4 linked regions of the Danio rerio genome follow. The protein of the gene in region 3 interacts with the protein of the main gene of each other region in a biochemical or structural test. Links are inferred from orthologs where the notes say so. Each region holds a gene or a part of one and is shown on either strand. Other genes may lie near its edges.

Evidence for each region.
Region 1: the proteins of arnt (region 3) and calcoco1a form a complex in vitro, tested with the Homo sapiens proteins (2 studies listed by BioGRID, with this or other methods). The link is inferred for Danio rerio from reciprocal best matches to the Homo sapiens genes ARNT and CALCOCO1.
Region 2: the proteins of arnt (region 3) and trip11 form a complex in vitro, tested with the Homo sapiens proteins (3 studies listed by BioGRID, with this or other methods). The link is inferred for Danio rerio from reciprocal best matches to the Homo sapiens genes ARNT and TRIP11.
Region 4: the proteins of arnt (region 3) and tacc3 form a complex in vitro, tested with the Homo sapiens proteins (2 studies listed by BioGRID, with this or other methods). The link is inferred for Danio rerio from reciprocal best matches to the Homo sapiens genes ARNT and TACC3.

Annotation. Positions count from the first base shown.
Region 1 is NC_133198.1:39,088,894-39,096,786, reverse strand, and holds part of calcoco1a (calcium-binding and coiled-coil domain-containing protein 1), read left to right. Parts: intron 1-85; coding exon 86-298; intron 299-489; coding exon 490-638; intron 639-2,073; coding exon 2,074-2,143; intron 2,144-2,230; coding exon 2,231-2,386; intron 2,387-5,398; coding exon 5,399-5,653; intron 5,654-5,747; coding exon 5,748-5,873; intron 5,874-6,865; coding exon 6,866-6,961; intron 6,962-7,893. UniProt on the Homo sapiens protein: Functions as a coactivator for aryl hydrocarbon and nuclear receptors (NR). Recruited to promoters through its contact with the N-terminal basic helix-loop-helix-Per-Arnt-Sim (PAS) domain of transcription factors or coactivators, such as NCOA2.
Region 2 is NC_133188.1:36,627,450-36,635,342, reverse strand, and holds part of trip11 (thyroid receptor-interacting protein 11), read left to right. Parts: coding exon 1-1,534; intron 1,535-3,031; coding exon 3,032-3,313; intron 3,314-5,046; coding exon 5,047-5,187; intron 5,188-5,297; coding exon 5,298-5,491; intron 5,492-7,893.
Region 3 is NC_133191.1:4,802,115-4,810,007, reverse strand, and holds part of arnt (aryl hydrocarbon receptor nuclear translocator), read left to right. Parts: coding exon 1-60; intron 61-587; coding exon 588-690; intron 691-3,264; coding exon 3,265-3,330; intron 3,331-4,570; coding exon 4,571-4,656; intron 4,657-4,744; coding exon 4,745-4,821; intron 4,822-7,087; coding exon 7,088-7,222; intron 7,223-7,893. UniProt on the Homo sapiens protein: Required for activity of the AHR. Upon ligand binding, AHR translocates into the nucleus, where it heterodimerizes with ARNT and induces transcription by binding to xenobiotic response elements (XRE).
Region 4 is NC_133188.1:39,348,418-39,356,795, reverse strand, and holds the start of tacc3 (transforming acidic coiled-coil-containing protein 3), read left to right. Parts: upstream 1-2,627; 5' UTR 2,628-2,744; intron 2,745-3,356; exon of another isoform or gene 3,357-3,474; intron 3,475-3,934; 5' UTR 3,935-3,935; coding exon 3,936-4,100; intron 4,101-4,478; coding exon 4,479-4,606; intron 4,607-5,175; coding exon 5,176-6,465; intron 6,466-7,194; coding exon 7,195-7,261; intron 7,262-7,340; coding exon 7,341-7,518; intron 7,519-7,610; coding exon 7,611-7,672; intron 7,673-8,378. Other genes in the region: mfsd2aa (sodium-dependent lysophosphatidylcholine symporter 1-A), read right to left, coding at 807-890, 2,183-2,242. UniProt on the Homo sapiens protein: Plays a role in the microtubule-dependent coupling of the nucleus and the centrosome. Involved in the processes that regulate centrosome-mediated interkinetic nuclear migration (INM) of neural progenitors.

The sequences.
Region 1 (7,893 bases), on a different chromosome or scaffold from region 3:
TTTGATAAACACCATAAAGAGGTAAATGATCAAATTTTATTCAATTGACCCCAATCATCGTCTTCTCTGTTGTTCCTCCTAACAGAGTCGTCTTCAGGAGTGTTTAAAGGAGCGTGCGGAGCTGCTCCAGGCTCTGGAAGCTGCAGACCAGAACGTGGAGAGGGAGAAAGGCAGAAGGGAGAGAGACAGAGGGTCCTGGGAACACACACGCAAGGAGCTTGAAAGGAAGATCGACGATCTGAAGGAGGAAGTGAGAGAATATAGAGAGAAAGTGGAGGACATGAAGAAGAAGCAGAAGGTAGTGTAAACACTCATTTCATCAGCCTGTGTGGTCAGCCCTAGGTCACAGTTGTGTGCATATTTTGTCTTGACTATGTTTACTGTTGTATATATGTTCACACAGAGAGAGAGACACACACTGGTAAAATGATAACAGCTACATATTTTAGTTTTACTGTTTAGTGTACTACCATCATGTCTCTCTTTTAGGAAGTTGAGGATTTAGGCGAGGCCCTGACAGAGGAGAAAAGAGCCCTGCTTGCTCAAAAAGAAGCGAATGAGCAGCGAATCAGAGAGCTTGAGGAGGACATTAAAATACTGACCCAGAGGGGCTTGGAGAGAGAGACTGACCTAGAAAGGTGGGAGGCTTTGTATCTTCTAGTCTTTGAATGTACTTGTTTGCTATATATGACATGTCGATGCGGACATAGGGGCCATTTATTTACGACATTGTTTTTGGGCAAATTCATAAAAACTGTTGCTTGTTTGTTTACACAATGAATTGTTTCTAAAACAAAGGTTTTAAAGTGCAAGATTTTTTTAATGTCATCATTATAGCATCCATGTAAACACCCAAAACTTTTCTGTTTTGTAACATTTTTGTCCTCCAAGTGTAGCTTTACATTTTGTTTAGAATTTCATGTTTTCCATCTCACTAGCTACGTAGTCAGAACTGTCAAGAGCATCTGTGCTCTGTCTCACATCTTTAAATGCCACCACACACTCATTGCGTGTCGTCATTGTTTTCTGAGGTGAAAGTCATTTATTAAATAAGAAAAAGATCCACGCTGCTTTTCGTATCGCAGCAAATTCCATTTTAACTGTTGATATTTGGCACCAGTTAATCAGAAAGTGACGATTTTGTTCTCTTTGACTGGTTGGATGGAAACGCTGCTTTATTCACACGTCTTTTATGCATTATTCAAGTTTTGCGCATAAAGTTAATTAGCATTTTGGAATTTAAACATGTAGCTAGTGTTGATGCTTAAAACTCTACAGATTTAAACTATTTCAAAACATTAGTGCGAGACAAGTGACACAATTTTATGATGTCCTTTGTTATAAGTTTCTTGTACTATAGTAATAATAAATTATACAGTTATGGTACATGCAACTGAACCTTCTAAACATCAACTTAACATCACTGTAACCCTATAGTACAATTATTAAGTGAATATCATTCAGTGTGTAAATGTATAGTAACTAGGACATTGTAAAAAAAAAAAGTGTAACCATAACCTGTGCCTTTAAGGAATGTAGTAACATAATCAGCTAATAACAGATATTATTGTCAGAAATCATAACTGCAATAAGTGTACCATGATTTATGTTTATGATTAATGCAGCACTGAAATTCCAGCAGCTAAAATGTATTTTGTCAAATCAGGAAAAAATGTTTTTGATTGTAGTTGAAATAGTTTTAGAAGGCTGAAATCAATGACTGAAACCATTTGCATTTCGAAGAGCTATTTGTTTGTGGTGCAAACCACACTGCTTGTGTTGTAGTGCATGCTTGTTTTCACCTTATATTAGCATATCTGAAATGTGTTTTTAGTGACCACTTGCGATCAATAATCAAGATTTTGTATTATTATGATTATTATTTTCTCATTAGTCAAGTATATTTGCAATTAATGTGTTTTAAAAGTAAATATTTCTACTGTGTTCTCTGGGTCAAATCAGGCCATGTTAGTGTTTCATATACTGTGCACATATGCATCCACTTCTAAACAGTGTTTTTATTGTCTCGTTGAGCTGCATGTTTTCATTGGTTCTCATGTTTGCGATTTGTAGGATGAGGGAAAGGGCTAAAAAATCAGCAGCTCAGAAGAGGGAGGATGAAGATGAACACAAGAACCTGAAGGTTTCTAATCTAATACCAATGCAGTTTTTTACAAATAGAAGAGATGTACATGCTCATGACGTGTCATTGCTTTTTGCATTATACTAGTTAAAGATGGAGCAGACAGAGAAAGAGCTGCACAGTCTGTCAGCAGAGTTCCAGAGTCTGAGAAGCTCATTGGCCCAGAGAGACACACACGCCCTGCAGCTTAGAGACACCATCACCACCCTCACACACAAACTCAACAGCGCTCACAGGAAGGAGGTAACACTCCAGCAGTTTCACACCCCAGCTTTCACCTTGAATGTCTGAGGAGGTGTACACAGGATGTCCTGTCTCAAAACAGTGATTTGAAATAGTGATCTTAAAGTGCATGCTATTTTTATAAGGGGGACAAAGTTTGACTGATTTGTATGGTCCAGACAGCCCCTGCTGGTAGATTGTATAACTGCACAAAAGAGGCTGAAATCATGCATTATTGACAATAATATACAGGGCTCAAAATTAACCTTTTTGCTCAGTAGCACTGGTGCTCCTCACTGAAAAAATTTGAGAGCACTAGTCAAAATGTAGTCGCACCCACCAATTATGAGCACCGTTACTACAAGTTTTATATTAACAGATTTACTTCATTTAAAATCAACATTAATCAAACTAATAAACAACAACAAAAAAATCTTCATGCGCCCACACACTTCTTGACATGAATGAAACTTAGTTACTGATAATAACTGTGCTGTTCTCACAGGTGGTGTCTGATATTCCAAAGACGCTATTAACATTATTTGCATACGTAATCTTAATAGCAATACCGATCTTTTCATGAGCTGCAATATTAGGTTAATCTTAGTGACTGTAAGCCCTTTTGCTATGGTGTACACTGTGCTACATTTTACATATAGCTGCCAGTTGCATGGCTGACTGCATGACAATTAAAAGAAGGATAAAATAGAATCTCTCAGGCTTAAAGGGCACCTATGGTAAAAAATCTACTTTTCAAGCTGTTTGGACAGATCTGTGTGTTGGTATAGTGTATAGACCGTCATACTGGGGTGATATGAACACACCCAGTCCTTTTTTTTCAATTTAACTACAAAAAAAGGGTCGGCCAATTGGAGCTGTTTTCAAATCGATCGCACCATTACGTAGGTGTGCGATCCCCACGCCCACCGAATTGATTGACAGCTGCGCGCATTAACATGTTCCGGTAGTCACGTGTATGTCAACAAGACCAGGCAGACATACGCAAAGCAACCGGGAATAAAAGGTCTGTTCTGTTCGCTAGGATCAGCAATCATCATCAAATGTGATTAAGAGTAAGTTTCACATGTTTTCAAGTGTTTTAAAACAGAGTATGTGTGTAACTAATTACAGCGCTTTACTTCATCAGCACAGCCACGTGTCAGAACAATTATAAAAGAAGACGCTTCAATCCCGGTTTGTGGAAGTTAAATCAGGTTTATTTTGTACATTAGCATAACAGATATCATCACAGTACTTGAGGTTAGCCTTAACTAAGCTAAGCGCGCTCTGTCTGTCTGCCTGCCCGTGAGTGTGTGTGTCATCTGCGGTGTGCGTGTGTATCTGTGTGTGTGTGTGTGTGTGCGCGCAATTTGTAACGATATTGTGTGTGACTCATCAATGCAACTTCACAATACTGATTAGTAAAGGTTAGTTCTTACTGTAGTATCTCACAAACGCTACGTGAGACCTTCTTCCTTTAAGTCTGTCTGTTGTTTGACGCAGCTGAGGGAGGAGGCATTTAGAAACAGTAGGCGGGAAAGACTCGTCTTAAAGGCGCAGTACGACAAAACCACCCCCTGCTGGAAATCAGTATAAAACAGCATCTTGTAAAAGGTATAATGAAAAATCTGATGGGTATTTTAATCTGAAACTTTATATACACATTCTAGAGACTCACAAGACTTATATTAAATCTGAAAAAAGGGGTAACCTAGGTGCCCTTTAAATAGTAAAGATGTGGCAAACGTGGTTACCTGCAAACTCCGTCACACCAGCTTTACAGTGAATGCTTTAATAATTTTCACAGCAGACAAAGATGTATTCTGCATAAATGTCTTCTAAATCCGCGCATGCGGTGAACATATTGCAGTGAAAATGGTCGCATGCCAACGTTATGCACAAACGCTCCCAATTATTTTTTGAGGTTGCATAGATAAAATTTCAGCCGCATGTGACCAAAACTGTCGCAATTTATAGCCCTGATACAGCACATGAACCGAAACCTAGGTGTACATACATAGATGCAAACAAAACTAAACAAATACTAAATGTAATGTAAATGTAAACTAAATGTAAGTAGTCATTACAAGGCTTTGTTGTTATTAATTGTTATTAATTACTCCTCATGTTGTTACAAACCCCTGAGACCTTTGTTAGCCTTCAGAACACAAATAAAGATTTTTTTAGGATAAATCTGAGAGCTCCCTCATCCTCTATAGACAGCAAAGTTCAAGGCTCATTCAAAAAACAGACACCAAGACACCAAAAACATCAACAACAGTCATGAATGTGCACAAGATACTGACACTGAGAAAAGCAAATTGTTGAATTAAGTTGTTTTTGTTTGTGCACACAAAACTATTCTCGTAGCTTGATATTTTTCATTTTAAACCACTAAAAGCATGGTCTGTTTGTGGATGTCTTCTGGTACCTTTCTGGACTTTGATTGAATCTTGAACCTTGCTGTCCATGGAGGATGAGAGCGCTCTCAGATTTCACTTAAAATATGTTAATTTGATGATGAAGACAAACAATGGTCTCAGGGGTTTGGAACAACATTAGGAAGAGTAATTAATAATAATTTTCTATTTTTTTGGTGAACAGACCCTTTAGAACTAACACTTGTCAGCAGTATGAATGGTCGAAGCATTGTCTGATTTGGCTGTGCTGCAAATATGATAATAATATTATTATTATTGTTAAATATTCAAGATTTGTTTCTCAGATATGCACATTTGACAGTAGAATTGAATTCAGAGTTGCATGGGCTTAATTTGTGATGCTGAGGTAATTTTATTATTAACAAAAACAGCACCAACTCTAAAAAATTATAACAGCCTCATGTTTTGTGCATTTACAGTTCTTATAATTACTCCCGAAAATTTGGTATAAATTTGGCACAAACACACACACACACACACACACACACACACACACACACACAGAAATATATGAAAAGATAGCTAAAATGGACGCCAGAACTGTAGTCTGATAAGGGCATGACGTTTTCATGTTTGTGTCATTGTTGAGCAGGCAGCCAATGAATTGGCTTTGAATGAACTCCGAAGTGTTCAGGAGCGTCTGAATGTTAGTGAACACTGTGTGGAGACTCTGAGGGGAGAGCTGAGAGACATGGTTGCTCAGAGAGACAGTGCACATGCTGAGCTCCATCAGGCCCGTCTGCAGGCCGCACAGCTCACACTTCAGTTAGCAGATGCCAGTCTGGCTCTGAGAGAAGGCAGGGCCAACTGGGCACAGGAGAGAGAGACACTGCAGCAGAATGCTGAGGTACATACAGTATAGTGAAAATGTATATTAAAAACAAAACCAAAAAAACAACTTTAAGACTGTTTTTCATATAAGTGATTGCATTAATTTTCAGATTGACAAAGTGCGTCTGGAACGCCAAAATGATGAGATCCAGCAGAAGGAGGAGATGTTGCAGAAGGCAAGGATGGAGAGAGAGAAAGCAGTGGTGGAGCTGGGAAGAGAGAAAGATTGCAATCGGGTAAACAGAAAACTCTCTTCAGGGTTCCCAAGGGTCATGGAATTTTTGATTTTAAAAGGTCTATTCCAGACATTGAAAGTCAGGGAATTTTAAATATTTTTGTCCAGGCCCGGGAATATCAGAGACTTTTGTTTGTCGCTTAAAATTAGATTCCATTTATCAAAATGTCATTTTTCTGTACTTAATCTTGTTTTTTATTATGTTGTTTCACACGTTTTGCCTATTGTTGTTTTTTTCAGTGCCATTTTATTCCTTTCTGCTTGTTAACCAGCAGTCATCAAGCTGTACCTGTTAACTTATAGAAACATGTCAACAAAATGTAAATTTCAATAGCTGTCTCGAAAATGACCACGTCGATGACAGGGTGTTAGACTGTGTGCTCATTTCTTTTCATTTATTTAAAAAATCTTGATAAATTATGTTGTTGCTTTCATAATAGCTATTACATTGATGAAAAATTCCAGCTCAAACTATTTGAATATTATGAGCACTTTCGACTTAATGTTGTGCTTTATTTATTAATTAAGCACAGTAACACTGTTTTTCCATTCATTATAGGCCATGGAAATTCAGCTTTTTAGGCAGTAAAAATCACGTAAAAATAAAGAGAATTTTACATTTGGTATAGATCGGCGTGTTTTTTTTTTTTTTTACAAGAAAGACTATAGAAAAAAAAGATGCATATAAATAACATTTACTTTAAAACTTAAATATAAACATAATATTAACAAATGGCATGCAGCCAAATCAAGTTATTAAAAATCAGTAATTAAAACTAAGTTTTTAGACCTGTCTAATACACTTGGGAGTTAACATGGCCAATATCACATGCTTATCATTTGCTTGCAGAAATTTGACTAGTGACCTATATTTGACGTTTGCTATTTAAATTGAATGTAAATGAAGGTGTCAATATATGTTTGTAATGTCAAGTAAATATTTGAAATCATGAGTCTTGGGTTTTTTTTAAACAAATTTGTGTTGGTGTATAGGTTCAGCTAAGTGAGACTCGGCGTGAGCTTCAGGAGCTAAAGGCAAGTCTCAGGGTGGCTCAGAAAGAAAAGGAACAGCTGCAAACAGAAATACAGGCAAGATCTATTTTCTGTGCCATCATGTTCTTATCAAAGCTCAAAAGTCTGGTTCGCACAGGTCATACAATAAGTTCGCAATAAAGTTGTTTAGTGTTAGTTGTCCTCACTTTCTTGGTAAACAAATATCGCATTCACAAGAGCCTAAAGGCAATAGCAAAAACATGCTGTTGTACTAGTTTTAAACCACAGAACAACCTGTCTCTTATGGGTATGTTTTGTTCTTTGTGTGTCTGACAGCTCAGGGACCCTGGTTTTAAAGCAATTTTCCACATAGTAAATGCACTTATACTGGAAACTGAGCAGACAAGCAGACCCACGGGACTTAAATACAGAAATCTGAAGCTTGTATTTTTGTTAGTCTTTGCTTGAATTCTTAAGTAAAGAAATCTTACGTGAGCTATAAACTTTATCCTTTCGGAGTGGATGAACATCTGGTTAGCATGTTACTGTTGTAATAATAGTGAATGGAGTTTGCAGAACATGGCAGTGTATTCAGGGATATGCAGTTGTGAATCCCCTTATGATATCCATTTTCTAATACCAAAAGAAAGTAACTGGGTTTAGATATTTAGCTAGTCCTAGTGCAAGGTTAAATTTTTATAAAATTGAATTAAGGAGAAGCAAATTTGTCACAAGAGTCTCTTGATTTTTGAAAGTTTATTATCATCGCTATAGGCTTTCACTGTAATGTATTTCTAATTCTGTCTGATTCTATTGGAAAAAAAGACACATTCACTTTAGGTTATGAGCTGAAGAAGAAAGTTGATAAATTCTCTCTATAGTTGTGCTAAAATAGAAAACAGAAAATGAAAATGTTATTTAATTTAAAACCACAATCATCAATGTAAAGGCCCTCGTGTTGATTCCTAGGTAAAATGTGTACCTTTAATGTAATTAAGTTCTTTGAATTAAATCATCTGCCAAATGGG
Region 2 (7,893 bases), on a different chromosome or scaffold from region 3:
ACTCAAAGAAGAGGTCCAAGCTCTGAGGAGACTTTCTGAAGAACAACAGACAACAGCCCTGCAGTCTCAACGCTCCCTTCAAAGTGAACTAGAGCAAGCACGGTCAAGAAACGAGCAAAGCGCACTCAATTACGAAAGACTCATCAGTGCTAAAGATGAAGAGATTGCCCGGCTTCAGTCAGAAGTAGAGGGCCTAAGCACACAAGGACGAAGTCAAATACAGTCCGTGGAAATTCTACAGGAAGATAAGACCCAGTCTCTGAATGGTGAAAACGGTAATGAGAAACATGACCTGTCAAAGGTGGAAATTGAGAAACTTGTGAAAGGCATCAAGGAGAAGGAGACTGAAATTAACCAGCTCAATGAAAAGAACCTCTGTCTAACCAAGCAGCTGGACCAACTTGTAGTATCTCAAAATGAGCTGGGAAAACTCTCACAGATGGTGCGCCAGAAGGATCTAGAAATCCAAGCGCTTCATGCTCGAGTGTCTGGAGGCCATGGTCAAGATGTGGTGTTCCTTCAGCAGCAGCTGCAGGCGTATGCGGTGGAACGGGAACAGGTGCTGGCTGTACTCAATGAGAAGACCAGAGAGAACAGTCAGCTGCGCTCAGACTACCATCGCATTATGGACATAGTTGCTGCCAAGGAGGCAGCCCTGTTAAAGCTTCAGCAAGAAAACCAGCGGCTCTCCACCATGAGCGACCCTTCAGGGAGTCAAGAGATGTTTCGAGAGACCATTCAGAACCTCTCCCGCATTATCCGTGAGAAAGACATCGAGATCGATGCCTTGACACAGAAATGCCAGACCCTGGTTTCTGTCCTCCAAACATCTGGCTGCAGTGATCCTGTGAGTGGTGGCTCTGGAGGTGTTAGCAGCAACCAGTTTGAGGAGCTCCTACAGGAACGTGACACTCTCAAACAGCAAGTTAAAAAGATGGAGGAGTGGAAGCAGCAGGTGATCACGACCGTGAGGAACATGCAGCATGAATCTGCACAGCTGCATGAGGAGCTGCTCAAGCTGCAGGGGCAGGTTTCTGCCGACAGTGACTCAAGCTCGAAGCTATCTGTGGATTATGCCAGGCTTATTCAGAGCTATGAGCAGAAAGAGAAAAAGCTTGGATTGTTGAGTCAAGAGCTGGCACAGGTGCAGCAGACCATCAGCCAGCTGACCAGTACCAAAGACGTTCTCCTCGGGAAGCTTGGCAGTGTCAAGCAATCTCCAGAATTGTCTGCCATGGTTCCTAGCCAGGCTCTTGCCCCTTCAAACCTGAGGGGGGCAGCACCTTCAGCCCAAGATGACCATATACATCAGGATATGCAGGCATTGCAGAGAACTTTAGCAGAGAAAGAGAGCATGATAAGAACTTTGCAGGAAAACAATCATCGCTTGTCAAATTCTGCATCTCTGTCTGAAAGTGAGCAGAGAAGCCATGCAGAGGAGCTCAAGCAAGCTAGAGAGAAGCAAGAATCTTTGCAGCGTTCCCTCAGAGAGAAAGATCTACTCATTAAGACTAAAGGGGACCAGCTCGGGCAGGTAATGTAGAAGGACAATACACAACAATACCTAAGCTGCATTGTGTCAAAATGCTAGTTTTCATCCCTAGTCCCCGGACAGGTTGGTGTTTATAAAGTTATTATCAGTTTATCAGTTATTTTATTGTGTAAACTGATAAAATGGACAATAATATGGTTAAAAGGACGGCAATAATATTACACAACGGTACACACAAACTTCATATATGAGCAATATTACAAGAGTAATATTGATACAGATGTGGCTGTATATCGACACTGGTGGAAGGCGTGCGTTAGTGCCGCCACCCATTACGAGATACAGCCACATCGCAATACTACAAGAGTGATATTGTATTTGTAAAACTGTTCGACGGCATAATTGTGTGTATAAGAAAGAAAATCAAACACAGAGTCTCAAAAACCCTTTTGTATGAGGAACAACTTTCTTTTACCACTCATTCACATCTGCAGCTGACAGCAAAGATCATAGAATCACTAAGATCTAAGCTATTTGCTGACAGTCAGAACAGCAGAAACCATTGCTACTTTACCAAACCATTGCTACTTTACCAACATCACTTTAGAGCTAGCTTTTGAATCATTCTCCTGCGTAATGACCAAAGTGATGACAAAACAGGTGATTTTTTTGCTCACATTTTAAGATTATCAAGCTAAACGGCATGAAATGCCATCAGTCTACAGAGATTTCCTGGTATTTCTCTGTTGCAATCAGGATTTCACAATAATTAACCCAAAAAAAGCCAGAGCAAAGCAAACACTACCAGATTCTGTGGTATAAATACAGCACTACAAAATACAAGAGAGAGATCGACTTAGAATGTCACCCACCTGATGTATAATGATTTGTTCTGTTGTAGTTTGAAATTTACACTAAGTAAATGCTGTTTTCTCCCCTAAGGACTTATTATGTGGTCTCTGTCACCATTTTGTGGCGGAAAGTCAATCATCACTTTCTTGGATTTGCTCAGGCTGATGGCGGACGATACACTGAATCCAATGCTCCGATATTATAAATATTTAAAATAGGCACTATCCTTATAAATAAACTGCTTAGTTGCAATCTAAACAACTACATTCTCGACTTAAAAAGGTTCAAAAGTACAGTATGTTGTCCAACAGCAGCAATAATTGTCAAACTATAGACTGTCCTCTGCTTGTTGCTGTATGTGGGCCGAGTATTGCACAAGGGTGAAGGGTTAAGAGGCTGGACAAGTGCTGTTATTTGCAGAATAACGTGCTGCTATCAGCCAATCAGATTCAAGAACCAGACTAAACTGTTGTATAAATATGCATATCATATCATGATATGTATACAAGGTTTTAATTAATAAACCAACATTATTCTAAAATCATTTCAAGAATCCTTCATACATAACTTCATACACGCATGTGCGTGCAAATATACAAACTCTCTCCAGATTTAAAAGACATTGAAGGTAGATTGAATGTAGATTGCAAAGGTGTTGATCATGAGGTTTTTCTGTACACTCCCCAGGTGAGTGAGACTTTACGCAACCGTGAGAACGACAATGAAGTTTTGAAGCAGGCTGTGACAAACCTGAAGGAACGTGCGCTGATCCTGGAGTTGGATGTGAAGAAACTGAAGGATGAGAATGAAGCGATTGCATCCAAAGCTCGTGAGAAAGAGACAGAGTTTCGTGCTCTGCAGGAGACCAACATGCAGGTGTCACTGTTGCTTCGGGAAAGAGAGTTTCAGTTCAGTGCTGTGAATGAGAAGGCCACTGCCATGGAGAAGATGTTGAAAGATAAAGAGCAGGTATGTCTGATTCTTGGTTTGTTTGAGTGTTAGAATATTAAGGTAAATTATCAGTAATACATTTTTTTTAAGAATTCCTGTCATAGGACAGATATTAAAGGGCCATGAAACCCCCTCGTTTCAGCAGGGTGTTTTCACACCTCTACTTTGGAAAAAGTCAGAAAAGTGGGCGTGTCCAGCTCTGTTTAGGGGGGAGTGTCGGAGGAACTAAAGTGGGATGGTGTGGGAGTGTCTATGTGGGCACGCGTGAGTTTCAGTCAAAATACACACACATGATAAAGTGATGGTGTTTAACCTACATGGACATCTGTAGTCGAATTATTTGCCAAATTGTTAAATGTTGGACTTTAACTGCAGTTTGGCTCTTTCATTCAGGGAATTCATTAATGTCCCTCCCGACAAACGAGATATTTGATTCGAGGATCTGCTCTAAGCGTGTATTTTTCATGCAATGTTTGATACCGCACGGCGAATGAGAGAAAAAAAACTCTGCATTTCCCGGAAACTTAGATGCACACGGCAGGTAGCGTCAGAAAGCCGCGTGTGTTATTCCGGTCACAAAATGCGGTGCTATGTTTGCACTCAGTGCAATAGTTAACTTAATTCGATACGAACAAACTGAATAAACAAAGAGCACTGGTCGCTCACTTACCAAATCTGTAGAGACAGGACAATCACCAGCAACTAGAGCCGCGTCATTATGAAGAGAAGACTAACGTTACAAGCGAATCCGGATTTCAGCGTTTGCAGATGAGAACAGCTCTCAGGTAAACAATGTTCCTCCTTAGACACGTAAGTTATTGTTGTCGAGCGTCGCGTACACTGTAATCCACACGTGACTCCAGATGAGCTCTCACAGAGAGAAAATGAAAACAAACTTAATGGCAGCAAACTATAAAAGCAACACTTCACGCTTGTTTTGCCAACACAACGTGGCGTCTCTGGGGCGTAAACACGGTGACACTAATGAATATTAATGAAGTTGCACAATAGAGCGCGCTGATTGGTTTGAACCAAGCCTTACTCATGCATTAATGCATCACACTGTAAGACGTAATAAGACTCACTCTGGCACAGACGCCCAGTCTGCACGCTGGAATACAGCGCTATTATGTCATGACCGTGACGCAGCTTCAAAAATTCGTTTCAAACCGGAAGTACGAATTTGCTTGAAATAAAGCAAAAACAACCAATTTACACTTTTTAGTGAAATATAGGTGTCCTAATAGTGTTTTTAGCAGTGTGGGACACATATACGACTGTCAACAGCTCAAAAAATGTGTTTTGGTGTTTCGTGACCCTTTAAACCAATATTTGTGTCACTCTATAAAAATAACTAAACATTTTCAAACAAATTAATCAATGAACTCTAGGGAAAAAGGATTATGTGACACTAAGGACTTAAATAATAGCTATTAAAATGCATCTTTAACATCCTCAAAGGAATCAATTGGATTTTCAAACACAATAGAAAACATTTATACTTGTAATGTTTCAGTTTTACACTTGTTACACTTATTTTGACCAAATAAATTAATGTTTAATGTACAAAAGAGAATTCTGAATGTTGTTTTGAGTTGTTGTTGTTATTATTATTATTATTAATAAGTATTTTATTTCGCATTCCCAACATACTTAATACTGTAAAGAGTGCATTTTTATAATGATGGAATAAACGCTGTGTTTTATATATGTTGTGAAACTGACCTGTCGCGCTTTTGTCTGTACTGTAGGGTAAATCTGGTGAGCTGAACCAGTTGTTAAATGAAGTTCGGTCCATGCAGGAGAAGGCAGTGTTGTTTCAGCAAGAAAGAGATCAAGTGATGATGGCCCTCAAACAGAAACAAATGGAGACATCTGCACTGCAGAGCGAGGTAGAAAAGGCTGTGTTTGTTATTGTTACTGTTTGTTATTAATCATCACATCTTATAAGAATTGCAATAGTGGAATTACTGTTTATTCATGTTCTCCTGTCTGCCTGTAGCTCCAGCATACTCGCGATAAAGAGCAGCGGCTGAAGCAGGAGGTGGAGAGATTGCGCAATCACCTGTTAGAGATTGAGGATTCATACACACGGGAGGCTTTATCAGCTCAGGACAGAGAGGCAGAGCTGAGACGCAGAGTAACGCTGCTGGACGAGCGGCTCACGTCGTCCTCTAATGCCGTGGAGAGTGCAAGGTAAGTCTCTTTTAGTCTGAGGATGCAATTGCTTGGTCCAAACCCCTTCCCGTCACTAGTCTTTTTTATTTTTCCAAATTTTTGTATTGTTATTATAATGATTATTATTATTGTTATTATAATTAACATATGTGATACCACACATACTCTGGTCTGCTGCAAAACCTCTGAAGCCAAAAGTGTACATTTACATTATTATTAGCCCTCCTGTGAAATCTTTATTATTTTTCAAATATTCTTTGTTTAAATGAGCAAGGACATTTTCACAGTATTTCGTTTATGTTTGTTTTCTTATTTCTTTTAGTTTAGTTGGAAAAAACTAAATTGTAATAAAAATAATAATAATTTAAGTATCAATATTAATAGCTCACTTAAGATTTTTCCTCTTCAATTGGCTAGATCAGGGGTTTTCAAACTGTGGGAGGGGAGGGGTGCGCCAGCCCCTTTTAAGGGGGTTGCGAGACATTGAGTCGTGCACTCAAGTAAATTATGATGACTATTTTTATGCGTCCACTAAAGGGAATATGATTAATGTTTGCTCCACAGCTAACCTACAGGCACCTGTAGAGTTAATGCGTTCCAGTAAAATATATACAAATAAAATGGAGCACGTGTTTTATAAAATGATTGAAGGTGAAAACCCGTCAAACCGGTGAGCTGTCTTACAAAAAAATGGATCTTTCACTTACTTTGAAGACACTACTGACTAGTTATTTGCCTTAATAAGACAGTAATATAATTAAGGTGTTACGTGAAGTGCTTTATGAATGTTGCGTCACCAGGCTATTTGCGTTTCCTGCAGAGGCTCATGTGATTTTGGGTGTTTCATCTTTAGTTTTTCGACTTTACTGCAGTTCGTTTCAAGTTTCACTTTCTCTCATGAACATTTCATTCACGCCCCTGTGACAAACTGGGGTATTAGATGCGAATATAAAGTAAAGATTGGTGGAGGAGTGTTGTTTTAATGGAAAGCCGAATGGAAAGCAGAAAAAAAAACCTCTGCATTTCATTGTGTGTGCGTGCATGCGTGTGCAATCCTTTACTGACAGCTGTGTTTATTGATCTTGTGTGTGTAGATCTTTTCGGCAAAATGTCCTACATCATGGTAATAGTTGGATTGCGGTGTTTACTTCAATAATGCCAATAACATATGCAAACTCATGTCTTAATTCCATTTCTGTTTAGTTCAGTTATGACTTTAGACGAATTAAGGTAATCAAATATCGCCGTTTATATGGCACACTTTTAATCAAAGTATTGTCTTAATACTTAACATTTTTTGCATGTACGCTATGGCTCACACTTATTGACAGTGGAAGATGATTTATGGCTAGTAGTGTCAGGAATCTAACCACAGATTAGCATGTTGTCCTTACAGAAACAGGCTCAGCCATCACACTGAACCAGGCAAGCTATATATTTATGTTTCAATGTAATTAATACTACACACTTTAGACGCAATATGTAATATGTGAATGATGTTTGCACATGCATTATAATTTTGGGTCGAGGGAGGGGTGCCTGGAGGGCGCGAGTGAAATTTGAAAAACTTGGGGGGATGTGTATCCTAAAAGTTTGAAAACCCCAGGGCTGGATTACAGAACAAATCACTGTTATTCAGTAATTTGCCTAATTAACCTTCCTATTTAACCTGATCAATCTATATAAACCTTAGAATTGCACTTTAAGCTGAATACTAGCATCTTTTTAAAATATGTTATGTCATCGTGGCAAAGACAAAATAAATGAGCTGTTAGCAGTTAGTTACAAAACAAATGGCTGAAAAATGTATTGGAAAAAAATCTTCTGCATTAATCAGCACTTTTAAAAGAGTTACAATTCTGCTGGAGAGCTAATTATTTTGCCTTCAATCAGAATCGGTATTAGAAAGAGCTTTATTGCCAGGTATAATCACACATACAAGAAATTAGTTTTTGTGACAGAAGCTTCTACAGTGCAACAGGATGACAGAGACAGGACAAAAACAGATAAATATAAATGAATTTAAAAAAATAGACACAAATAGTGAATGCGGATATATAAAATGACAAGTGTATGTAAAGGTGTAAAAAAAAGTAGCAATGTTTGTTTCATAATTACTCTCATACTACACAACTATACATTATTAATGAACAAGGCTTTTGGAATCATCTAAACTTTCCCATTATGCCACCCCTGCTTCAACTCAAGTGTAAATGACTTCAAAGACATTGTTGTTGCTCACTATTTCAGAATAAACTCAGATTCCAGTATGACAATAGTAATCTGGTGCACAAGCGTTTTTCTGGTGTCGCTAATTAATTGGTGTATATTTTTAAAAGCTGTTTAAAACTGAAGTATACTTTGGACTTTACGTAAACAAATGTAGACTGTTGCATTGGTTCAGCTTCACTAATGTCTCA
Region 3 (7,893 bases):
CAGACGATGTGGAGAAGCTCAGAGAGCAGCTTTCCACCACCGAGAACAATAACAACAGCGGTGAGAAACCACTGCCATACTTTCTGCTGAAAATCCCTAGTTCAAATCATTCATTTTATTTAATTGAACAACTGATTTCTTTTATCTTTGCCTTGATGACAGTACATAATATTTCTCAAGATACTAGTATTAATGTTATCAGCTTTAAGTGACATTTTAAGGGTTAACTTGGCAATTTAGGGTAATTAGGCAAGTCATTGTATAACAGTGGTTTGTTCTGTAGACTATCAAAAACAAATATATCTCAAGGGGGCCAATAGTATTGACCTTAAAATGTTTTTTTAATTATAAATTGCTTTTATTCTAGCCAAAATAAAACAAATAAGACTTTCTCCAAAAGAAAAAATATTATCAGACATACTGTGAAACATTTCTTGCTCTGTTAAACATCATTTGAAAAATATTGGAAAAGAAATAAATGTACAGGTGGGCTACTAATTTTGACTTCAGCTATGCATGACTTTCTTCTGTTAACCCTTTTTACATAAACAAAACCTTTGAATCCTGCTCCCCTTTTCTGACTCTAGGCCGGATGTTGGATATGAAAACGGGCACGGTGAAGAAGGAGGGTGGTCAGGCGACTGTGAGGATGAGTATGGGTGCCAGGCGCTCCTTCATCTGCAGAATGAGGTGAGACACAAAGCACACTGCTTTACTCCTATAGATCATCTCATTGCAATGTTAACTAAAGGTTTTTACAGGATCTAACTTTTTTTTAATGTTCGCTTTTTGCTGTTTTTCACTACAGACTGAATGCATGGTCATATTTAGATGTGCACACACAAACAAGCTGCTCCTATTTCATGGTGTTAAGGGCTAGAAATAAATTTCAGGCCTTAAAAAGTCTTACATTTACAGTTTCACTATTAATTTTATTTACCTCTATTTAACATAGTTTAATTACCTTCCTTACAATAACATTTGTTTCTTCATTCTCCATTTATTTATGGTGAGGACACTGACCTGGAGAGACAGTAGTGCATATATTTAGCTTTATGTTGTGTTAAAAAAAAGCGCATCTATGAAACCAGTTTGCTTATTTTTACACACTTATTATATGTGGCTAAGAAATAACTATATTATATATTTTTTTTGATGAGGAAAGTGAAAATCTTTTCCTTTTACATTAGAAAAAAATCTCCCCATATATACACCCATATACGCCCCATATACAAGTCTGAAATTTCATTAATAAAGGTCTTAAAAAGTCTTAAATTTGCCTTTATGATCGGTGTCTGTGGCAAATAGAAAACAATGTAAAGATGTGGCTCTTCTCTTCCAGTGTGTGACAACCTGGAGAAGTTTACAGTTTTCCCGATGTTTGCAAAACCGTCTTGCTCTCTCAGCCAATATGGTTAGATTGCTTCACGCCAGGCATCAGCGTCAACACTTCCCATTCACTTTGAATGGGTGACGCCAAGTGCTGCCGAACTGAACTGTGGATCCGTCTGCACTGCTTCGGGAATTTCTCAACTTTTTAAGCGCAAAGAGAATTGTCAGCCAATCAGATCGCTTTATGTAAATACCTTAGCTGAGACAGTAGCCAATTGCAGACTAGGGGCCCTATCATACACCCGGCGCAGTGTGGCGCAAGGCGCGGCGCAATAGTCTTTTGGTAGTTTCAGCTTGGCGCAAGAGTCGTTTTGAGGCGTTGCGCTACGCTGTTTAAATAGCAAATGCATTAGCGCTCATTTGTGCGCCCATAGGCGTTCTGGTCTAAAAAGGGAGGCGTTCTGAGGCGGACCGCTGGCGCGTTGCTATTTTGAGAAACTATAATAGATTTTTCATTAGACCAAAACAAACCCGGTCTAAACTCCAGCGCAGAGTTGCGCCTCGCTTACACACTGCTTAATACACACAAGAGAGCAAAAGGCAAATATCTTTTCATATGAAAAAATTTAAATATTAAGGATATATATAGGATATAATAAGAATAGATATAGGATATAAATATAAAGGATTAAAATATTACAAAACATATTATTTTCTAGCCTACATAAATATGAAAAATCACTGCTTTTTTGTCTTCTTCATCTCGGGAGGCTTTTTCAGTTCATTCATAACAATTTGCTTTTGTATAATGTTATTATTATTAGCAGTATTATTTATTATATCCATATTTATATTTGTTTTATTAAAAACAAGCTTAGATTTGCCCACCTGTCAGGTTTTAGACCATATGGGGCACAGCATGTGTTTTAGGATATAACTCAGGTTTTTGAGCACATTTTGTTATTGTTGTTCATTTATTCGTTTGCTGGAAATTAGAACTGAATTTAGAAATAGTTTTGAAACGAATATTTGCACTTAACAAACAAAATTATTTATTTATTAATTGATGTCTGTGTGTAAAGGTTTCCCTATCCAAGAGCGAATGTGAAAGTAGATCCGTTATCTCTCATTCTCACGCAGTAGATGCTCTGTTTAACAGTTTTCTGTTAAAAAACTGTTAACTGTTTGCTAGTGAAATGCTCATTTTTTCCACTTAGACTTACTTTGCGTCCTGTAAATAGCGAATGCGCTCTTGGCGCGACGCAGCTGGCTCTTAAAGGGAATGGGAGATGAGACTCTAATTGGTTTATTCTCAAAACACACCTATAACTCATTAAGAAAATAAACTCAAGCCTTTTAGCCCATGCACCACGACGCAAGGCAGGTTTTCCCATCCGTAAATTAGCAAAAACGCGTTCTGACACGCCCTGAAAGCATTTGCGCCCTGCGTTTTGCGCTCTGCTCATGTACCGTCAAAATAGAGCCCTAATTTTATTGGCTGATGCTGCTATGATGATTGTGTCAGAACCAAGCTTCAGACATGCCCTCCGTCAAGCATGTGAATTGGCCGTTTGTGTTTAGGGATACACATAAGCAGAAACGTTTACAACCCTGCCTACTGCAGCGAGGGGGTGTTGAGAGTTTTTGAAAACAGTATGTTGGCACTTTTCAAACTTCTTTTTGAACTCAAACGAATTACGAAAAATAACTTATTTTCAGTATACTGGGGTCTTTAAACCGATAAAACATTTTTATAATGTTATACATGTCAGGCCTTAATAACCCTTTATTTTAAAGGTCATGTAAAAAAGTGTTGAATTCTTATATACAGTTCAAGACAAAATTATTTGCCCTCTTGCAGGGCTTTTATAATTTTACAGATTTATTCACAATATCTACTTATTCAAGTGAAATGATGTGTGTGTGTTGTAGGTGTGGAGTGTGTCCAGTAGAGCCTGTGTCTCTTAACAGACTGAACTTCCTGAGGACCAGAAACAGGTAAAGCGTCTCTCTTTGTCTGTATGTGAGACAATCTCAGTTCATAAATAGATATAAAGCGTTAGTTCACCTAAAAGTGAAAGAAAACCCATCATTTACCCACCTCAAGGCATCCTAGGTGAATATCACTTTCTACTTTCAGTCAGAGTTATTTAAAAAGAAGTTTCCAGCTCTACATTGGAAAGCTTTTATCAGCCGTCCAAAATAATTAAGCTCATCCATTCATAACAAAAAGTGCCTCACACAGCTCCAATGATCAATAAAAGTCTCCTTTAGCAAATCAGTGCTTTTAACAAATTGCACAGAACTGTTTATAAAGGTTTATGTGGTCGTATGTCTTACAAAAAACTAACAAGATCACCACAGAAGACCTTTATTCACATTTGAAACGTTTCTTTATTATGAATGGGTACACTTTCGTGGACTTGTATTGAACTGTTTGGAGAAAAAAAGTAATTGTGGAGCTAAATGAGGCTAAAATGATGTGAAGTTTATTTATAAACTAATGTCAAGAGGATCGCTGCTTATGATTGCTTGCAGTTGTCCTGCATTATTCAATTTATGATTCATCATATCGGACGATTCCTAAGGTACTATAAATATCCTCAGTCCCATATAACAGCCATCATCAATTTAAAGAATCCCCCCTTCCACCCCTACTCCTCCTCCTTTCCTAGATGGGTGGCAAGGTGGCCTAGTGGTTAGCACTGTTGCCTCACAGCAAGAACGTCACTGGTTCTAGTCTTTACCAAGCCAGCTGACGTTTCTGTGCAGAGTTTACACGTCCTCCCCATGCTCATGTGGTTCCCCCCGGGTTCCCTGGTTTCCTCTCACCGTCCAAAACATGCAACTTAAATTAATTGACTAATCCAAATCGGCACCATAGACATGCTCCTAGTAAGTAGTTATCTCTAAAGAGCAATCACGAAATGTTTATTAGTTACTACAGCAGGGGACTTCTGAGATCTACCTGAGCTCAAACTCCCCTCTCGCCTTACAAACGGGAAGGAGCCTTGGGCTCGAGGATCTTATGAGCTCAGGGCTCTCTTCTGGGACAGCATGCCAAACAAGCTTTATAATCAATCATCAGCTAAGTGTGAACTCTTCAAATATATTTAAGTAGCTTTGACTGAAAGAAGAAAGTCAGCTATACCTAAGATGTCCTAAAGCTGAGTAAATCATGGAATAATTATAATTTGTGCGTGAACTAACCCTTCTCTCATCTCCTGTTGTTCTGCAGGAACGGATTGGGTTCTGCTAAAGACGGCGAGCAGCAGTATGTGGTTGTCCACTGCACAGGCTACATCAGATCTTGGCCTCCTGCAGGTACAGTATACACGCACACAATACACCGGAAGTGGCTATTGTTTACACAGAGTGGAGCTGGGAATAATATCTGGCTTTATCCTCTCAGGAATGAACCTGTCTGAGGAGGAGGCTGATAATAATCAGGGAAATCGTTTCTGTCTAGTTGCCATCGGAAGGCTACAGGTACTGCTTTTTTGTTCATGTATTCATCTTTAAAACAAATCTGCACTGAGTCATGGTTTTGCTTCATTATCTTTCTCTTATGGCTTTGTTGTGAAAAATTAATTGTCAACTTTGTTTAAACTTTTTAATAATATGTTATTTATAACCAGTGTTGGGCATGTATGTGGTTGTCCGACCCCTACACACACAATCAACAATGAGTTGATATTCTCCTCAGTTTAAAACTCACTGTATTCAGTTTTTTAAAGGTCCCATGAAATTAAAATAAAGTTTTTAGATGTTAGTACAAGTATTGTTAGATTTTAAGATATCCACAGGCTAGTGTGCTCCAGAACAGTGTCAAAACTTGCGCTTGGAAGATATAAAACTGATCTAAACATGTAAAGCTTGTAGTTTGTCACTTCCACCTAGGGCATCCCGAGTTCGAATCCCGGCTCGAGGACATTTCCCGACCTTGCCCCTTCTTACTCTCTCCTACTTCATTTTCTGTCTGATTACTGTCCTATCTAAAAAAAAGGCAAAAAGGCCAAAAATAAATCTTTTTAAAAAAACTACAGTTTCTTATCAAATCACACCAATCATATGCACCAATCAAATACCTGACATGCCCAGCCCCCTTCAATAAGCTTCTCATTTGCTTTTCATTTCATGCGCTTGAGCTCAACCAACCTTATTGGCTGAGATGGGATAAAAACAAAATGCTATTGGCTGTTTTTAAGAAAGGGCAGGGGGTACACGTTCCCACCCTCTCTTTGTGTTTTGGTTGAGATTACGTCAAACATCAAATAAAAATGCATATTTCAAAGCAGTTCATGTGACCTTTAAAACGCTTCACTGATTGTTTACAGTTTAACTGAAGTTATTTTATGTTAATTTATGCAAAGCATTATGAGGCATTGGAGAACAGGTACATTGAAAGTGATCTTAAAAATAAACAAATCTTACATTTTACAAAGTCTTTATGAATTTCTTTTAATGGATGGAGAAAATCGCTCAAGTTTCATTGAAAATTATCTTAATTTTGAAGAATTTATTTTAGATTAGATTCTCATTACACATGTTAAAGGCAGGAAATGCAGTTTAAGTCTAGCCAGGAGTGCATTATGGTATATGCGGAGCTAGTGTTTCTTCCCATACTGAAAGTTCTGGTGAACGGTTAATGTGACTTTTAACCATTTTATGCGGTTCCTTTTACAGCGTCGATGTTGTAATGTAATTAAAATACAAGCAGTTAAATAGATTTTGGCATTCATTTAGTTGCTCAAGCGTTAAACGAGACAAAAAGCCATTTACTTGCAGAATCGACAGGCTAGCACAGATGCTCCATTGAATATACTAGGGTAAAATAAATGTCTATATTTTGAAGACATGGCGGGGGAAAATGTAATTTAATGCAGTGCTTCTTGTACAATCTGAGACCCACTTTATATTGGATATCACTAAGCCAGAGTAGTTCTCTGTTTTTTTTAAAGAAAACAGACCTTAAACGCACTGATTTTGTAATGGCATACAGTTCACCGGAAGCGTTTAACTTAGGTTACTGACAAATTAAAAGTCCTTTAGCATACTTCCACATATAGCAGCAAGTGCAGGATATAGCTACAGGTATAAGTAAAAAGTGCAATTATAGAAAACTATTGGAAATGTTTACAGATGGATGTACTGTGAACATAATATACAAGTCATATTAACTAGAATCAGATATTTACAAATAGATGAACATATTGTAAAGGCTGCTATTAATAATCAGGGATATGCAAATACATATCAGCATAAGATGCACAAAAAAAAATTATTCCTGCAAAATTGTTGCAAACAATTTATACGGGTTGAAATTAAACAAACAAATTAAATTTGGTACTGTTCAACTTAATTTCTTTGTTTAGATTCAGACCAAATAAATAGTTTACAACCACTTAAATTAAAACAATTTGGTAAATCCAAGGAATCATCTTTGAATATTTGTTTTCACTGTATAGGTTTTGCTGTAACAGGAATTACAAATTGATATGTATATCATACAAATGTATATGTTCAGTGGATATGTGCATTTACAAATGGGTATGTACAGTGTAGTGCAATGATTAAATGCAATGTCAAGTGTGCAGTATGAAATAGTGCAATGGTTATGGGCAGTGTAAGTTGTAAGGGGTGGGCAGAGGAGTCAGTGAGGGGCAGAGTTCAATATTAGTGGTGGTTCAATATTTGTGGGTGAACTGACCCTTCATCGTTCTCTCTGACCTTGTGACCTTTGTTTGACCTGCAGGTCACCTGTTGCCCGAGCGACACAAGCATAAACAACATCAGCGTTCCAGTGGAGTTCATCTCCCGCCACAATTCTCAGGGTGTCTACACGTTTGTGGATCACCGCTGTACGGCCACGGTGGGCTTCCAGACTCAGGTGGGTCACGAAAAAAGCATTCAGGCTTAGGCCCAATCCCAATTCTACCTCTTAGCCCTTTCCCTTTCCCACACCAAGGGGTAGGGGTGTTCCAATTCTCTTTAGCTTGAAGGCGTAGGGCTAAGGGGAGGGAGTGAATACCCCTTCGAATAAAGATTTTTCAGGCCCACACTCAAAACCAAGGGAAAATAAATTTTTATTTGATTTTCCCCGATTTAAATCCCTGCACAGTCACAGTTTTACTTTGATAATATTAATGAGTCTTTAGTTTGTATTATTTATTCATTTATTTTTATTTATTTGTATTATTCATTTATTAATTTTTATTTATTTGTTTTTAAAATAGCAATTTAGGTATGGCAGATGTGTTATTTTGCAAAAAATGTGCAGCATTTAAGAAAGAAATGAAAGGGCTCTTCACCTTAAATTCTTTTAAAATATTTTTATTTTAAATCGTGACTAAATTGTGAATCGTGAGATTAGTATCGTGAATCGTTACATCCCTAGGAGGAATTGAATTTGGATCGTAAGCCTTAAATAAAAATAAAAAAGTTATTATTTTTAACTTGATGTATTTTGTACGTGTCTGTGTTTTTTTTATACATGCACAAAACCTGTAATAAGTTTGTTTGAATTTTAAGTGTTTATGTGTAGTTAATCATTGAGTTTAC
Region 4 (8,378 bases), on a different chromosome or scaffold from region 3:
ACATAAATATTGCATTCAAAACATTTACTTTTAGATGAAAGTAAGTGAGATATGGGGGAAGGCCTAAATATATTTTTCTTTTTACACAGATTTAACTATAGATATGTTTACTGGAATTTTCCAATAATGATAATAATAATTTATAATAAATACATTTATACTTATAATACATAAAAGGTCAGTGTGTTCTGTATAATATTTAAATAAATGAATAAAATAGATAATGAGAAAATACTTGCTTTTTTACCATTTATGAGAAAACAGGTCATTATAACATCTATAAAATATCAGATCTTAAATATTGTAAACAAATGAATGAGCAAATACATTAAATAAATTATAAACAATTATTGTTATTACATTTTTATTCTAAACTGTGAAAGCACTACAAAAGATGTGCTCAGATTATTCTCAGACTGAAATACAATATGCAGAAAATGCATATGCAGATTATGTCTTAAAATAAATGAAATCACCTCGTCTGAGGACAGCCGATATCCGTAGCCTGTGTGTTTAATGTATGTGATGTAAGCTGAATGCAGGTCAGTAGTGCGGGGAGAGGGAGTCAATGCACTGACTGACCTCAGCACAAACATGCCTTTGTTATGTAACTCTCTCCTCTCCTCTACCCTGCCCCGCCCATTCTTCAGTGTGCTTTTTTGGTTTAGTCTTTGATTCTTTTATAAATGTTTTTGGCATACTAAATGAACATACAACCGCAATGCATTTCTAATATTTTTATGTATACAAGTCCATAAACATTCGCAAAGGCATATATATGCACGCATTGTTTTGTTTAAGCTTACCATACATGATCCCATAACAGTCTGGCACTCATTGAGGCATTGGATGTGATCCGATGCTGCCCTCTTGCGAAAAAAGGCAAGACACTGCAGGTGAAAAGGGTAAATAATTATTAATAGTTATCGCCATGCTTCCACAGCTGACTGAAAACATTAAGAATTGCAAAAATCATAAAGTTTGTATTACAAGTTTCTACAATGCTATATTTAAGTAGGCATGTATAATTAGTATTGATTATTCTGCATAAATTTCTAGCACAAAAACCTGAACACTGAATGATAATAGGTTCAAAATTTTTGATGCTTTTTTGGCATATTTAGAGTAAAAGGTTTTAACAGAAGGGAATTAAATCACTGCTTGATTCGGAAAATTCAGAATAAAAATCAACAAATTGGGTATAAACCTCTGTAAACATTTTATCTATATATGAATTTTATTACTTTCTATATTTATTAATATCGATAAGAACAAATCTGTATAAATCTGGAGTCCAAAAGTGATTAAAAATCATTCTGAGAAAAATTTGTATTGTAATTGAAATCTATGGAAACACTATAAACTTTTAAACGTGTTTTTTTTACGTTTAAATTTAAAAATTTCTCAAAATTGACAGGTACATCAAATGTATGCTTTTGCTTGCCATGACTGCTGGTAATGATTAAAAAAATGGGTAATTAAAGCTAGGTAAATCATAAAAAAAAGTTATTGTACCCACTATACTTTTTAAAAAGATAATTATGTTCATAATAATGCACAAAAACAGCAATAAACATATATATTTCAAGGCGTTTTACCAAATTCATGGTAAATGGTTTTTACCTTGTGAAAGAAATTTTGAGGATTCTTTTTTAAAATCACCACTTAATTCTAAAAAAATCACTTTTTGTAGAAGAAAATGGAGTATTTGTGATCAAACTAATTATGCATAAGCATGTGCCTCTGCAATCTTTTACCTTTATATTAATATTATTATTTTCTGTATGTATTAGCTTAGAAACTAATAAAACTGTAAAAACTTGCGTCCGTAAATGATGCTGAAGTGATTTTTGCATGACAAAAATATATTGAAATAAATATGCATTGTAATTGAAATCTATACAAACAATTTCTTTACAATACATTTTTTTAAATTCAAAACAACAAGTACATTGTCATTTAAATGACAAGTATATCACATGCATGTATTGCCATGTCTGATGGTAATAATAAAAAATAGTTATTATTAAAGCTTAAAAAAATGCATCAACAACAAAATGATTTAATGTATGCGTTGATTAACAGCAAATATATTATCAAAAACTAAAATTATAAAAGACAATTATGTCCATAACATGCACTGTTATTGCAATATGAAACGAAATTCATATTTAATACATACCCTGTTGCAAAGCTTGTCGTCACGTTCATTGTATGGAGAAAACATACAGTGAAAGTACATTGTGGTTCAAAACATCACTCTTCCCTGATAACTTTCCATTTTCAAGACAACTCAAAACTAAAGTATCATCTTCAGTACAGCGAAACACTGTAAACGAAAACAAAACAGTTATATCTAATATCTAAGCTACAACAACAGCAGTAGTTTACACTGTCAAATCTACACTTGTTTTCAACAAGTAAAAGGGTTAAATGAGGTTATTTATCTTCATAAACCGTCTGCGTCAACGGCTTACCCTATTGGCTGGTTTGGATGTCTGTCAAATGTATATCCTGTACAAAAGCGCAGATTGACGTGCGATGCTATTGGTCGATTCGTATAATCGCCCCGCCTGACGAGAGTTGATTCTTGCATTTAATTGGCTGAGAGTGCGCCGTTTAAATTTGAACCGTTTCAAACGGGGAAAGTTATAAATGCAACAACAACATCTCTATGCTGTGTGTCGAGCTGACTGTCTCTGCGAAGAAAACGGTTTTTATTAGATTTGAGCAGTTTGAATAAGGTACGTATTTTAGAAAACCGCCCCCGAGCCACGTTTATAGGATTGTAAGTTATTAATGCGCGATATGAAACCATAAAGGTAACTTAATCGCTTTGACTTTTTTGCTACGTGAGTGTTGCCAGAACGTCGAACATTCTGATGTAACGTTAACTTAATCCTGTTATTTTAAGATTGCGATAAGTGATTGTTAGCTATCCTTTATGTAACGTTAGAGATTTTTTTTCTGTTATAGTTAAATTTCTAAAGTTCGTATGGAAAGGGCATAAAAATGTAGAATTAACATTAAGTATGACGTTACGTGTAACTTATTGATTTTGAGCACTGTTGGAGATAACGTTAATTTATTTGCATTAAAAACTTTTTTTTAAATAAATAACAAATTCTATATTTATTTATTCATTCATGTATTCAATGTTGTTTTGTCATCCACGTGGGTATGTGAGCTGTTAGGCTAAATTCTGTCTTGCACTCAATTCTCTGGCTGTGCTAAACGTTATGTGGTTTATTTATATTTTTCCACTGAAGTGAGGGATTGATCTGATATCTCACTTTTGTTCAGGTTAAAATGTGATCATTTGATTTATGATAGTGAGCTGTTTATCACCTGTCCAGGTAAGCTGTAGGAGAGAGAAGCTGTCAGAAGTACCTGTCAAATACAAAGCTGACAATCATATTGTCAGGCCTACATAGTTGAGCAGAATCCAGGCAAGAACAGATAAGGCCAGAAGTGGTAATGATTTTGTTTTTTGATTTTGTTTGTCAATCTCTTCCTTGTTCCTACTTATTCTCACAAAAAAATCACAGTATCAGGGGATTGGCATAGTGTTTGATCATGATATATATATATATATATATATATATATATATATATATATATATATATATATATATATATATATATATATATATATATATATTTTTTTTTTTTTCTTTTCTTTTTTTTTTCACTAAAAAGAAGCACTTTGTTCCCTCAGCACAAGGCTAAATTGTCACTGGTTTGGGTTATTAGTCACAGTGGGTTAGTCTGAAAGGAGATGCAACAGATTTGAAGTGTCTCAGGACTAGGGTCTCTGGGTGTTGGGTCAGATGCCCGCCTCCGGGTCTTATCAGCAAAAGCAGCTGTTTATGGTGCCTGCTGGGCGTGACTTTCCAAAACCCATGTTGTCATTTTCTGTGTCTCTGTTTTACAGTATGAGTTCTGACGCGCTGAAGGAGAATCAGGGAGCTGTACGGATGAACAGCAATTCTGAATTCGCTTGTGACATTTTCATGTTGGATCAGCCGACTGGCAGACCCTCGATTTTGCGGCAGTCGCAGGCTGACAACATTAACAGGACTGCTCCTAGAGCAGCAAAGGTGGGCTTGACAAATTTCCATGCAGTATTTTTTCTGTACTGTATAATGTGTAATAAAATCACTGGTTATAAACCAAGTGTTTTCCATTTTAAAAAGTAACTTGTTCCTTTGACTGTAAATTTACCTTTTCTATAGACACTTTCTTTAGTGTCATATGAGCACATCTGAGTGACTTTTCAAGAAACAAAAACACTTATGAATGGCAGGTCGATTTTGTTGAAGCCATGCTACATTTTATTTTGGATTCTTTAATATTCACAAATGCAGTATTTATTTGTACTATTATAAATTTTATTTTGCATGTAATAATTGAACCCTTTCTTGGCCTTGTACTACAGCTTAGACTAACCTGCACGTTACTTAATTTCTCTTATATAGGTTTGTTTTCAAACCCCACGGCGAGATCCAGTGACAAAGAAGATCATGTCTCCAAGCCGCACCAGTAGGCCGATCAGCCAGGATGATCACAAAAATGCACTAGAGACTCTCACAGGCCTTTCTGACCAGTGAGTAAATTACCTGCATCTCCAATTGTTCAGGACTGTTGATGACCATTTGTGTATTTGGTGTACCTTTTATTTATATTAATTTCCACCAAAGGCACTTCTTCGAACAGACCCAGAGACTTCTGGTGTAAAATGATGGGTAAAACATAATGATCCTGTTTCCAAATAATATTAACATGGGTTTTCAAAAATTTTGTCTGAAAGCTGTAAACTTGCTTGGGATGTATTCACGGTGAAAGGACATATTTCTTTCAAATCTTTCACAATATAATGATTCAACTTTATAATTGAATCCACATATCATGTTTGACCTGTGGTGCATGCTCAAATAGGATTCCTATTTGACATTACTTTTTCTTCTTGACTATTGTTGATGCCCACATTGCAAAACAATATTTCAGTGCTAAAACAATATTTTGTCAACTTTAATGTACCACTCTAATAGTACAAGGTATTCATAAGAAAACTAGGTTAAAGATTAATTTTTAAAATATTTTTATGTAAGCCTCTTAACCTGTTTTTAATGGACAAATATGCTAACGTGTAAAACCTCCTTTTGTGTTTTTCAGGAGTTCATTGATGAATAACACTCACACCACACCAATTGACATAGAATGTAACAGTGTTGCTTTACCTGATGATGACATGCCTGTTCAGAGCAGAGGGGCCTATTCCTTTGATCTTGACAATATTGATGCCATCAACCCTTTCCAGGGCTCCAATAAAATGGCGAATTCCCCACCTAAATCTTCTGCTTTTACGGAGGCGGCAACATCAGAGCTTGTAGAGTCTAACACAACCATAGCCCCTGTTTCTGCACCCCAGGTAGAGGTAGAGACAGAGGCAGAAGTGACTGACAGTGCATTTGAAGAAGCTGTCCCATCAGTGGAGAATTCCCTTGCAGAATGCTCTGCCAACATCTCATCGACAGAGGGCAACGTAGCCCCTGTTCTTGCACCTCAGGCTGAAGTTCCAGAGGTGACTGAAAGTGCACTTGATGAGACTCTCCCATTTGTGCCATCAGTGGAGAATTCCCTTGCAGAATGCTCGGCCAACCTCTCTTCAGCAGAGGGCACAGTCATCCTCAAGACTGAGAATATTGAAAACAGCACCAATGAAACAGAGGAGACTGAGATCACTGACCCAGTGGCAGAGCCACAGCAGATTCCTGTTTTTGAGGGTCAACCCGAGGCACAGGACTTGCCACTACCTTCTGCAGGATCTTACAAGTTGGATTTTGACAACCTTGAAATGCTCAACCCATTCCAAACTGGTGGGTCAAAGATCCCCAACTCTCCTCCAACCAAAACATCAACAGTTTTTGACCCACCCCTGCTAAGCCACGAACCTGAACAAGAGCTATCAGTCCAGACAGATATCCCAACATCCTCCGATCCATCCATAACACCTCAGGAGAACTCCACTGCCACAGAGAGTTCCTCATCTACAACTGCCCCAAAGGAGAGCCAGATGCTATTAGAGTTTAATTTTGATGATGGAGCTGAAGTTAAACGCAAACCTCCTCCAAAACGCCTTGGGGTCAAAAGACCTGTTGGTGCAAAACCTGTGCCCAAAAAAACAGATGCACCAGTCACAGAGAAAAAAGATGCAGAACCCAAGCAGATGTCTCCTACAAGCCCAGAGGAGACCCAACCTGTGGATATTCCTTCTGCTAAAGGTTCTTACACTTTTGATTTTGAACAATTTGATAACCCAAACTTTAACCCCTTTGGCACAAAGGCTATGATGGGAAACTCACCACCACGTGGGGTCCAGACCAGTCCAGTTTTGAAGAAAGCACAATCTCCTGTTAAGCAACTTGAGACACTTCCTGCGCAGGATGACCAACCTGAGCAACGGTACGTACACCGCATACACAAAACGCTGAACATTTCTTATCTGCACAAGCTAATAATGGCCTGATTCTACTAAATAGCATGGTTTTGAAAGTACGGTTTCATATTTAACTGTAATTCCACCGTCAAAAGTATTAAAGCAGTAAACAATACCATGTTACTTTTTTGGCACTCTTTCCTAGTACCTAGTGCAACAGTACGGTACCGAATGGATTTACAGATGATTATAATATCGAAAATTTAAAAACAAAAAAATACAGCTGAGACGCATGACACCATATTAATATGATACTAGATTGTTTTGATCTTGTTGCAATTAAATTCCAAGAAGCAAAGACCAAATCTGCTGCCTCTATTGTTTGAGTCTGTCCAAAAGGGTGCTGTTTTCTTTGCATGCACGTCTATATTTGAAATTAATTTGAGTTTGCCAAAAGTGCAACAACGACCTGAAAGGCTTTCTTTTTTGGTATTTTGATGGTTGAAATGCAAGCTTGGTCAAGGTGACTCCTACTGAAGAGTACCAGTCCATTCTGCTAAGTGTAAATGAGGCCTAAAGCTCCATATCAGATTCTATTGCTCAAAAGCAGTGTATGTTGCTAGCTACCTCATTTTATTCTAAGGGGATGCATGAACTTATTAATTGCACCCTGAATGCTTTCAAATTCTATTTGTATAAACGCATTTAGCAAATAAGAACGAGCTCCATTGATTTGTATTTTGTCCCCCCTCCAGATCTCCCCAGGTAGTTTCTGAAAGCAAGGAAAATATGGTAGAAGCGAATCTTCCTGAGACTAAAGAGGTAAATATTTTTTAAATGCAACAATTCAAAGTCTTTTTCATCAAAGATTGACATTGTTCAACACTCATTCTTTTACAAGCTGGCAGAAGATGTTGAGTCATCAATGGCTGTATCTCACACTGACAAACCCCAGAATCCAGCGGTGCCGGAACGAGATTTCATGGCAGTACCAGAATCTATTGCAGATATTCAAAATCAGACCTGTGATCTTGGTGTGGCAGCATCAAATGAAGATGAATTTGTGCCTGGTGCTTTGTGTGAGTAAACAAATTTGCAATCTTGTTCAATACATGCTTTCAAATTTTGATTGCAAAATGTATATCATTTTATACATTTTTTTTCTCCTCAGTCATGCCAGGAGGAGATTTTGATGGACAGATTGACTATCTGGAGCAGTTTGGATCGAGCAATGTGAGCGTTTTTGATTATCAGCCTTTCTATAGAGTTTGAGTTTATTTTGCTAAATACAGTAGCAGCAGACTACTGATTTACATGCCTCTTTGCGAGTCGTCAATTTATTATAATTTTTTTCTTCCTCCCCTTAAAGCTCCGTTTTTTTCTTGAGGGTGTTTAATGCAGTGTAATGACTGACAGATTTACAAATGTTACCTTAGCTTAAAAGTGTGTCATTAGATCAGTACTAAGGATGAGTAGATTTAAGCAGGTAGTATGAGTGTAGTATGTTATATTATTATATATATATTATTATATTATTATTATTATGTAGTATGTAATATTATTATTAGGAAAAGCAGAGTATGTGTTGTTTTTATTTAAATTTTTTTTGGATTTCTATTTATTTTTTGTATTTTTTTATTTACTTTTAAAAAAAAATATTAAACGTTTTACAGCAATTATTCATTATTTTTGTAAATTAATTATTATTTTATTAAAAAAAAAAAAAAAGATTTACTTTTTTAAAAATCACTAAATGTTTCACAGCCATAATCCACTTGTAACCCAACCTGAATGTAAAAAAGTTTTGTTTTATATTATAAAGCATTACTTCATTTCGACTTTGGCTCATGTTGATAATGTGGTGCTAACTGAGAAATTTGGGTGTCAAATATAACTCTGTATTATCATTCATTTGGTTAAGCAGAATTTGAGTTGTTTG